Linked DNA regions of Mus musculus. The protein of the gene in region 1 interacts with the protein of each later gene in a pairwise test. Links are inferred from orthologs where the notes say so. Each region holds a gene or a part of one and is shown on either strand. Other genes may lie near its edges. The genes, in order: Ergic3, Apol8 and Vamp5.

Region 1 (4,117 bases):
CCTGGTTCAGTTCCCAGCACACATTGGGTGACTCAGAACTGCCCATAAGTCCAGATTTCAGGGATCCAATGCCCCGTACTATCATCTGGTACACATAAACACATGTAGACACACATAAAAATAGTTAATAAATCTTCAAAACAGAAACCTCCCATGAGACGCTAAGAGGCTGAGGCAGGAGTCCAGGTGTTCCTGGTCAGCCAGAGCAGCAGAAAGACACTTTCTTAAAACAAAACTATTGAGCACTTTGTTTTAGTCTTTATAGCGGTATTAAGCTGTCTAGAGCTAATGGGTTACAACAGAAAGCAAATAAGGGTTTGTTTAATCTCCACTCCATAGCCTTGTCCTGGAGGGGTGGAATCAGCGAACGTCTTTATTTTATTTATTGACCCACACTGGGATTAGCACTTGGACGCTGTTTAAGAACCCAGGGTACTCTGAAGTCCAGAACTGGGTTCCACTATTGATCAGTTTAAGCTTGAAAAAAAAAGCAAAGTTAACACCCACTCTCTTTTAAAAATAACTTATAGATTATATTTACTTTTTTGTGAGTGTAGTCAAGGGCACGCCACGGCATTCATATGGAGGTCAGAGGACATTTTGCAAGAATCAGTTTTTTTCCACCATGTGGGTCCTGGGTATAGAACTCAGAATTGGCAGCAAATGCCTTCACCTTGCAAGCCAGTTAATACCCACTTCCCCCTGCAGAGATTCTCATGCCTTAACCGCATTGGAAACACCTTGGAGCCACTTTTGACTTTCTAATGAGGGAACCAATGATTTCCTTGGAACCGATTTCTTTCTTTCTTTTTTCTTTTGTAATTTTTCAAGCCAGGGTTTCTTTGCGTAACATCCCTGGCTGTCTTGGAACTCTCTTTGTAACCCAGGCTGAACTCGAACTCACAGACATCCGCTTGACTCTGTCTTCTGAGTGCTGGGATTAAAGAGTGCGCCCACCCCGGTTTGGAACCAATTCTAATTAACGCTGCGGTGGCTCTGGCGGGGTCAAGTTGGAAGCGCTGTCCTAAGAGATCCAAAGGTCCAAGGAGAGGCACTTACCACAGGTGCTGTCACTCCGCACCCAAGCACCGCCCTCTGTGCTCCCAGCCCGCCCCTCTCGGAGCACTGCCCAATCCGCGCGAGGAGGCGTGACAATGTCCACAAGCTAGACTGCCTTTGAGGAGGCAGGTGAGGGGGTGGAGCCCCACTTACGCACCGCTACGCCTGCGCAAGACAGCGAGGGGCGTGACCCCGGGTCCAGGCCGGAAGCGGGAGGCTGGAGGGGCGGGCCGGCTGGTGTCCCCTTTCCGGCCGGTCCCCATGGAGGCGCTGGGGAAGCTGAAGCAGTTCGATGCCTACCCTAAGACTCTGGAGGACTTCCGGGTCAAGACCTGCGGGGGTGCCACGGGTAGGTCTCGGCGCGGGCAGGGTTGCAAGGAGGGAGCTGTCCTCGCGTTCGGCCCGGGCTCCCGGACCCTCCGTGGCCTGCTAAGGGGCTGAGGGGTGGGATATAGGCCGTTCCAAATCTCGCTCTCGCCCTGCAGTGACCATCGTCAGTGGCCTTCTCATGCTCCTGCTTTTCCTATCGGAGTTGCAGTATTATCTCACTACGGAGGTGAGGGGCGTGGCCTAGAGCGTGGGCGGGGCCTGGCATTCTAAGGGCAGGACCCTTAAAGGTGGGAGAGGGGAGGAGAGGCGAGGAGAGGCATAGGGGCGAATCTGACTGAGGTAGACATGCTCTAGGTGCATCCTGAGCTCTACGTGGACAAGTCTCGGGGGGATAAACTGAAGATCAACATCGATGTTCTTTTCCCGCACATGCCTTGTGCCTGTGAGTACCCGATTGTGAGTGGGGAGTTGGACTCCTGGACGTAGGGTGGGCTTCCAGATTTACACCTCTGGCCTTAGATCCCAGAGTGAATGCCAGGCCATCCTCATTCCCCGAGTCCATTTCTTCCTCAAGATACATCTTTCCCATCAAAGCTCAGCTCTCCGGGTCCCTGGTGTCGTAGCGCCTTAGCTTGCCTCTCTGTTTCCAGACTTGAGCATCGATGCCATGGACGTGGCCGGGGAGCAGCAGCTGGATGTGGAACACAACCTGTTCAAGAAACGACTAGACAAGGATGGCGTCCCCGTGAGCTCAGAGGCTGAACGGCACGGTAACCAGGGGAGGGGGACAGGTCTCCGATCCTACAGCTGGACATGCCTGCCTTCCACACATGGGCCGTTGCAGGCTCAGTGACACCGTAGACAGAAGTCAGCTGGCTTGCTTAGGGTTCTACAACTATTAAAAATCAAGAGTCAGTTGAATCCATGCTTCTGGTATTGGAACATTGAGTAGAATACCTTAGGGGCTGGAGAGAGGGCCCAGTGGTTAAGAGCAAGACACTTTGCTCGGTTATCGTTTCTCAAGCTTGAACATGGGTCTTCCTTAGGTAAAGGAAGTTTGCTTGTCCACCTCATTGGCTAGAGTACTGTCCCCCGTTGCAGTGCGAGTATCCTAAGATTAAGAGCTTAAATTCTCGAGTAGAGTTGCCTGGGTTCGGATCTAGCATTGTCTTGCAGTTTGTGAGCATGATGCAGGGCTGGATGCAATACAGATGGGTCTCAGCTTACAACACTCTGACTTGGAGATGGTTTGAAAGCACGCCTGTACAACCATTCAGGTCTTCACTTTGCGTAGAGGACTCAGTCATTGGAGGTACTCGGTGCTTTGTTAGGAACTAGTCTTCATGTCAGATGGTTTGCCCAGCTGTTGGCTGGGTAAGTATTCTGAGAATGTTTAAGGCAGTATCAGTTAAGCTATAATGTTCTGTGTCTTAGATGTATTAAGTGCATTCTAAAATATGACATTTTACCATGGGAAACCTCATCCTGAGTTGGGGGAATCAGTAATATATAATCAGTACACAACCCATAAGTAATCTTTTTTTAAAGATTTTATTTATTGTTTTTTTGTTTGTTTGTTTGTTTGTTTGTTTGTATTTTCGAGACAGGGTTTTTCTGTGTAGCCCTGGCTGTCCTAGAACTCACTCTGTAGACCAGGCTGTTCTTGAAGGTTTTATTTATTGTTAAGTACACACTGTAGCTGTCTTCAGACACACCAGAAGAGGGCATCAGACCTCATTACAGATGGTTGTGAGCCACCATGTGGTTGCTGGGATTTGAACTCAGGACCTTTGGAAGAGCAGTTGGTGCTCTTAACCACTGAGCCATATCTCCAGCCCATAAGTAATCTTTCTAAAAGACCTGGTATAGAGTGTACACTTTGAGCAGTTTCCCTAAGTTGCTGTCTCTGTTACCCTCAGCCCATCTCACTGTGTAGAACTCACAGATCCTCTTGCCTCTGTCTCGCAAGTGCTAGGGTTAAAGGTATGGGCTACTATCCCAGTCTCAGAGTCTAAGGGGATGGAACAGGGCAACAGGAACTTGCCTGTACCAACTGACTCTTAGTGTTTACTGCTGTTTTCTGATACTGAGTATATGTAATGGCCTTAACACCTGACCATCATGTATGTGGCTGGTTTTCCCCAGCCCAGGGACTTATGTGGGAGGGAGCTGTGGCCGTGGATGTCACTGTGTCTGCTTCATGCTGTGCTTTTGCCCCTGCCCTGCCCAGAGCTTGGGAAAGTCGAGGTGACAGTGTTTGACCCCAACTCCTTGGACCCCAATCGCTGTGAGAGCTGCTACGGCGCTGAGTCAGAAGACATCAAGTGAGCCACGCCACAGGGCATGGGGAGTGAGACCTGAGATGGTAGAGGCATTATATTCCTCACTATTCATCCTGATGCAAGTGATAACAGTTAGCCAGCAGGCCCGCTGGCAACTGCACACCTAGGGGGCCTGCTCTTCAGCCTAGAGAACCAGCTGCCAGGCGTCCAGTCCTTGTCTTCAATCTGAGCCACATTGCTTCTCTATGTAGGGATAATAACACCCTCCTTGCCAAAGTTAAGTGTATGTTATATGTAAAGCCCTGACGTACAGGGCCAAAGCTACATTATTACACCTCCACTATGTGCCAACCACTGTGCGACTTCACAGCCCCAACCCCTGAAAGACTGACTCAACAGGTCTAGAGAGATGTACTTTTCAGAAAGAAGAGGGGGAAAAATAATAC
Region 2 (2,637 bases), on another chromosome or scaffold:
ACAGGGAAGCCACAGCCTGGAGAGAGAGGAGGGGTGGAGCAGCTCTGTCATGACCCCATCATCACAACTCAGAGATCTGCCTGCCTCTGCCTACCAAGTGCTGGGGCTACAGGTATGTGCTTCCATGCCCAACCCTAAGAAACGCTATACTCAATGGAAGAACATGGCTTTGTGGCCACCAGGCCTCTGCCCTCCCCAGCAGCCTGGTGTTTCCAAGATGCTTCAGAACCAGGGGGCAGGGAGAGAGGCCATGCTTATCCACATATGATCCATGCCCCAAGGCTGGATCCTTGCCTTTTAATGACTCTCAACCCTGGAAGTAACCACATGGGACTCTACTGAAATGGCCAGGAGAGGATTCAGCATGGGTAAGCTGGAACAAGCCAGCCTGAGGACAGAGTGCTGCCTTGTGGGACAAGCTGTGCAGGGATCCCTGTGGCCACCATGACAGGAAGAGTAACAATCTACAAGAGGCAAGAAAGGTAATTTGATTCAATACAACTAAGTAGCCAGTGTTGGTTCAAACTGTCGGAGTCTGGCCCCAAGTAGTTTATTTTAGACATATTGAAGCACGCCGCAAGCTGGTGAACACTTTCGTGGTGATAATTAACTCATTCCTGTGTGCACAATAAAGCTTAAGACATGATTACGTCAAACTCTTTCTGTATACGTGACATCTTTCATAACGATGGGTTCTGTAGATAGACAAGTTCACAGTAAGGATCTAGAGGGAAGATCCGGTGTGGTCTTGGACACAAAATAGCACAAAGGTCACCAAACTATTAACCATGTCTGCTCCCAGTCTTCTGGGCAGATAACAGGCTATACATCCCTTCCTTTGAAGGATCAACCCTGTTGCTAACCTTCCTGGGTCCCCTGGTGCTTATCTGTGAGCAGAAGAACCTCTGTGCCTCCTACAAGGCTGTGCTCTGCCCTTGGACTGAGCACACTGCCTCATGGGAAGGGGCTGTGGGTCTAGCAGTTAGGGTGGTTAGGAGGAGGGCGGATGCTCTCCTATCTCACATCCTGAAACGTGCTCTAACGTGTTGTTTTCCTTACCTATGACTTTGGGACCTTCACTCTGGGATGCCCCGTTTTCCTAGACTAATTGGCTCATATTCATTGAGCTAAAGTCTATATAGAACATGAGATGGAAGAGGAAGATAAGCAGAGAGGTGGTCTTGTCCATCATCCCCCCCCATCCCCCCCCAACTCATGAGGAAGCTGTGTCTCTGAGAAGGTATGTCTCTTGACCACAGGCTGGTTGCCCTCAGTACAGCACAAAGTCTCTTGACCTGTCAGTCCAATCTGGGCCACTCCCCATCCCTAAATCAATCTCCACCCCAGCACACCCTAGAGAGTGTCAATGGAATTCCACTGGTCCTCAAAGGCACCCTGGCCCCTTGACAACTGCCGTGCCCACTCTGCTGTCACCTCCACCTGTCACCACCACCACGGTCATCCGAGGAAGTCACAGTGGCTCTTCCACATCCAGGATTCTTCCTCTGGCTTTCTCCCATTCCCAGTGTGTCAGATTCGCTGCTTTTTTCCTTGCTTGCTCAGACACAGCTCTCTTTATTCAAACCTCCAAAGCTCTTTACTCCAAAACTGACTGTTCCCTCCCAGCCCCGCACTCTCTAGTCCCCTCTGGTCTCTTGTTTCGGGCTCCCATTCTTTTCCCTTCACTCCCTTAGCTACCGGCACTGATCTTACAATGCTCAGCTAGAGAAAATGTCGAACGCTGGCTGGAAAGGTGGCTAAGCAGTTAAGAGTACTGGCTGTCCTGCTGAGGATATGAGTTCAATTCCCAGTATCTACATCAAGCAGTTCACAACCTCCTGTAACTCCAGCTCTGGGAGACCTGATGCCCTCTTCTGGCCTTGGAGGGTACCTACACCCACATTCTCAGATACACACACACACATATAAACAAAACCACAACAAAGTGTTTTGAAAAGAACAAATGTCTAAGTCCTGAACTTCATGGGTCTGATTCCCTCTCACAAAAATGCTTCAGTCTCTAGATCCAGAACACCTCCCCGTCTTCTGCACTGCTCTGGGGGAGGAAGCATGTTACCGCCTTGAGCCTGCCTGCAAACCTTCATACATCTGGATGAGCGCCTCCAGTTTCTCCTCCAGCTCCCGAGCCTGCTGCCTCAACTCCTCGGCAGACTTTGCTTTTGTGCCCTTGTGCAAATTCTTGGACTGTTTCACAAGGCTGATCACATCCCCAACGAGGGACACACCTGCGGTGGCTATACCCATGATCCGGGCTCTTCTGCTTATTGCCAGGGCAGTGCCTTTAAAGGCCTTCTTCACGTGCTTACCACTTTGGGCAGAGGTGCTCCCCATGGCACTAGCTGCTAAGGCAGGGTTGGCTTTGGTGAGCTTGATGGCATAGATGCTCTGCTCAATGCACCGTAGGACACGGCAGCAATTCTCAGATAAGGACAAGACCTGGGGTCCTGAATGAACCACAGCGTCTGCAACCATCTTCACTTTGGCCATGCCGGTTGACACCAGGTGGCTGGCTTCCGTTTTGGCTAATGACCTACTTGTGTAGTCCACGATCCCAGAGGAGACACTAGTCACAGCCGCTGCTGCTCCCAGGCCCATCCCTGTTGCCAAGAGTACCAG
Region 3 (4,117 bases), on another chromosome or scaffold:
GGCAGATTTCTGAGTTCGAGGCCAGCCTGGTGTACAAAGTGAGCTCCAGGACAGCCAGGGCTATACAGAGAAACCCTGTTTCGAAAAACCTAAATAAACAAACAAACAAACAAACAAACAAACAAACATGAAACAGACTCCCATTAAATTGTACAGCCTGGCCGGGGACTTGGGGGTCCTCCTGCCTCTGCCCACAAGTGTTGGGACTACAGGCCTTAAGTGTTGATCAATAGTAACAGCTGCTACCTTTCCGTGGTCACAGGAACCTGACCCAGCACTGAGCTAGCTGTGCATGTGGGTATCTGGCTAAACCTTTACAATAACCCACTGAAGATAGTATTATTGTCCTTGTCTAGAGTAAGTAGGTAACCAACCTGAGGGTAGAATGGACAGAGATTCCACATGTCTAATCCCTGTGCTAAACCAGACGCACAGAAAGTGTGAGGTCTGGTGCCCCTGATGACTGGCTAAAGAGTACTAGCCACTGGATGCCAACTCTGCTTGTGTTCAAAGGAGAAAGGCCCGTGACTACAAGCACAAGTTCTGCCAGACAAATGATTCTGAGGATTATTTTAGGCTGAGCATAGGCCTATGAACCTACCTAATCCCAGTACTCAGTAGGCAGAGTTCGAGGCCAATCACGTCTATATAGTATCTAGTCGGACCTTGTCTAAAAAAATTTATTCTATATCTGGACATGGTGTCAAATACTTGTAATCCTAGCACTTGGGAGGCAGAGGCAGGAGCATTGCTGCAACTTCAAGGCCAGCTTTGTTTACTTAGGTCATTTAAGGGCAGGGTATATAGCAAGACTGCCTCAAAAAAATAGTTAACTCCATTCAGGCACTGTGGCTCAGCGACATCGTGAGTTCTGCATCAATCTGATCTACATGAGACCTTGTCCCCCAAAACCAAACAAGCAGGCTAAATAATTTTTAGTTATTTATGGTGGGGCTGGAGAGGTGGCTCAGCATTTAAGAGCACTTGCTGCTTTTCTAGAAGATCTGGGTTCCTAGCACCCACTTGGCGGCTCACGGGTGCCTAAAATTCCAGTACAAGGTGAAATTCCCTCTTCTGGCCTCCACAGGCACTGCACACACATGGTACCCCGCACACATACATGCAGGGGAAAATTCATACACATGAATAAAATCTTTTAAAATGATCTATGGTGCTAGGAAGATGCCTCCATAAATAAATCCCCTGTTGCACAAGTTTGGGGACCAGAGTCTGACTCCCTAGCACCCACATAAAAGCCAGGCAGTCTGCCTGTAATCCTAGGGGCAGGAAGAAGGGGCCGGTCCCAAGGACAAGCTGGCAGCTAGACGAGACAAACTGGTGAGCTCCAGGTTGAACCAGAGATCCCGTCTCCAAAAATAAAGTGGAAAGCTGTTTAATAAGACACCTGACATCAGCCTCTGACTTCCACATGTATCTAAACAGGCATGTGCCCAGACACGTGAACAAGCGTGCATACCACACATGCAAAAAAATATTGCTCATTTCCATCTCTCATTTTCATCTCCTCCATCACTGTTTTGTGCTATTCCAATGGCAAAAAAGAATTTTTTTCTTAAATCATTTTGACTGAATGAGTCCCAGTGAAGAAAAGGGAAAGGAAAGGGAAATCAGTTGGGGGTGGGGGTATATATGGTAGTCAGAGGGATGGGATGCAGGAGGAAAGAGCTGGAGACAGAAAGGGGGACAAGGGAAGAAGAGATAGATGATGGAGCTGGAGACAGGCTGAAGGGATAAAATTAATGCATCCCCCAGACTCTGAACCCCCAAGGTTCTCCTGAACAGCCAGATAACCTAACCTGGCGCAGCCTTCTTTTCAGAACTTCTCCTCAAGAGCTGAGAGCCAGTTGAAAGACCATCTCTGCCCTGTACTCTCGGAAGTGGGCTCTCAGCTCCAGCCCATTCTCAGAGCCTCCCTCGGTTTCCTGGTGTGGCCTCAAAGCTTAGGGCTACCTTCCTGCCACACTTCCCTTTCCTGCCTCCAGTTCCCTAGAGATGAGGCCATCCAGGCATTGCCACCCCTAGCCAGGCCACATCCATCCCATCTTAGAGTACTAAACTTGCTTCCAGTCTGGCCACCTTCCCAGGAGCCCTGGAAGGTGGGATCCAGGCATCAGTGGTCCCTGACACTTTTGTCTTGGAAATGGCAAGTCTGCAGCAGGAGTGAATGTAGGTGACTCAACTCATGATTATGTTACTAGGTAGAGGTTAGGAAAGAGTCAGCAGGCTGGGTCACAGGGATAACTTCATGGAACTTTTATAGTAAACAACTTATTTTCTCTTTTCCCCCAGGGAAGTGTTTATCTGTCAGCACGTCAGCACGGGGCCTCTACCAGGCATCTGCTCAGGTTTCCAACCCTTGGGCCAGCTCTGGCTCCTCTTAGCCTGGGGAAGAGCTGGAGAGGTCATCGCATTACCTACCACTTCTCAGCAAAGGGTTCTGAGTGCCTGGCAGCAGCGACCATAAACATCTTCTTTAACCTCTCAAGGACCCACCAAGGTAAGTATTGCTGCCCCTACTTCACTGCGCGGAAAAGGAGGCTCGTGGAGGTTAAGTAACTTGCCCGGTATTGCCGGGAGCTGATAACTGCTCCAGGAGCGTGGGAAGCTGTAGCACCGCTCACTCTGCCCCGACGGGGCGCACTCCGAAGTCTCCCTCCCCGGTTGCCTGCAAAGTTGGGGACTAGTCCGTGCGACCAGCGTGACCTATGCCCCTGGGGTTCAGAATCCTGCTTTTTGCCCCTGCACAATCGCCCTCTGCCCCTGCCCGTCTCACCATTGCCTCCGCAGCCGCCGCCGCTGCCTGCTCGCCGGCTCCGATTCCTCTGCCCCGAGCGGCCTCAGTGCCCGCGGCCCGGGAGGAAGCCGTGGGGCGGGGCGGGCCCGCAGCCCAAGAGGGAGGGGGGCGCGCCTTCTCAGAGGTGCCCGTCCCGGGCAAACCGAAAGCGGTGACAGGACCCGTGGGGCGCCTCCTACCGGGCCACAGGCGTCCGATTTCCGATGACACCCCAGCCTGGTGAATTGGGGACCGATGTCTCTTGGATCTGGGGCTGCATCAGGAGTTAGCCCAGGAGGCGTCATTCCGTCATGCAAAAAGCATCTGTGGGAGCTATGTGCTGGAGCTGACATGAACAAGCCAGAAGTATTTGCCACCTTGGTGAGTGCGTCTCACCCGAAATTAAAAACACACCAACCACTCCAAAGTTCTGATTATTTACAGACGGAACAGGCAGTATTCTGAATACATTGTATGTCACCGAGTTATACCCTTAAAAATGGTAAGCTAGGGCTGGTGAGATGGCTCAGTGGGTAAGAGCACCCGACTGCTCTTCCGAAGGTCCGGAGTTCAAATCCCAGCAACCACATGGTGGCTCACAACCATCTGTAACAAGATCTGACGCCCTCTTCTGGAGTGTCTGAAGACAGCTACAGTGTACTTACATATAATAAATAAATAAATCTTTTTAAAAAATGGACTCGCGTTGTGGAAAGAACCAACTCCTGCAAGTTGGCCTCTGATCTCCATACATTGGGGGAGGAAGATTTTTAAAATGCTAAAGTGTTGCAGACATTTCTGTGAGCTAAAAGTCTCAATGGTGTGTGGATGGATCTCAAGTTTTGAACCAACAAGAGGCAGAAGAGGCAAAGGAGAAGATGGGAGCCAGCTTCCAAAGTGGTACTCAAGCAGAGACCATCTCTTTTGGATAAGAATAAAATACAAACTACACAGACTGTCTTGAAGAGTTTCACAGCATGAGTTTAGGACAGAGTTGCAAGCTGCTGCAAGGAAAACAAACAGGTGTTGCCCAGCCTGAGAACACACACTTTCTCTTAGATTCCTGGTGTGGGCCTTGCGGGATGGTCCTCTAACAGGTGAGGAAGATGGAGTTCTTGACGAAGAGAGATGCCGAGGAAACTGCGGCTTTTCTTGCAGAACTGGGAACTGAGAAGTCCTTTCCTTAATCTCATTGGCCCGTCCCAGCCTCAGGCCAACTTCAAGGTTAAAATGAGGTTGTTTGTAAAGAACTGTGCAAAAGGTGCAGAAAGCCTGAAGACTTGTAAAGGATACGCTGTGCTCTGAATTCCACAAAAAGCTCAC

What was found.
Region 2: the proteins of Ergic3 (region 1) and Apol8 interact in binary tests that used the Homo sapiens proteins (3 or more experiments, as listed by UniProt). The link is inferred for Mus musculus from reciprocal best matches to the Homo sapiens genes ERGIC3 and APOL2.
Region 3: the proteins of Ergic3 (region 1) and Vamp5 interact in binary tests that used the Homo sapiens proteins (3 or more experiments, as listed by UniProt). The link is inferred for Mus musculus from reciprocal best matches to the Homo sapiens genes ERGIC3 and VAMP5.

The regions. Positions count from the first base shown.
Region 1 is NC_000068.7:156,006,821-156,010,937, forward strand, and holds the start of Ergic3 (endoplasmic reticulum-Golgi intermediate compartment protein 3), read left to right. Parts: upstream 1-1,207; 5' UTR 1,208-1,320; coding exon 1,321-1,408; intron 1,409-1,544; coding exon 1,545-1,615; intron 1,616-1,743; coding exon 1,744-1,831; intron 1,832-2,039; coding exon 2,040-2,159; intron 2,160-3,619; coding exon 3,620-3,713; intron 3,714-4,117. UniProt on the Homo sapiens protein: Possible role in transport between endoplasmic reticulum and Golgi. Positively regulates trafficking of the secretory proteins SERPINA1/alpha1-antitrypsin and HP/haptoglobin.
Region 2 is NC_000081.6:77,747,282-77,749,918, forward strand, and holds the end of Apol8 (apolipoprotein L2), read right to left. Parts: coding exon 2,074-2,637; 3' UTR 518-2,073; downstream 1-517.
Region 3 is NC_000072.6:72,377,587-72,381,703, forward strand, and holds the start of Vamp5 (vesicle-associated membrane protein 5), read right to left. Parts: upstream 2,883-4,117; 5' UTR 2,798-2,882; coding exon 2,795-2,797; intron 2,519-2,794; exon of another isoform or gene 2,311-2,518; intron 2,188-2,310; exon of another isoform or gene 1,695-2,187; intron 1-1,694. UniProt on the Homo sapiens protein: May participate in trafficking events that are associated with myogenesis, such as myoblast fusion and/or GLUT4 trafficking.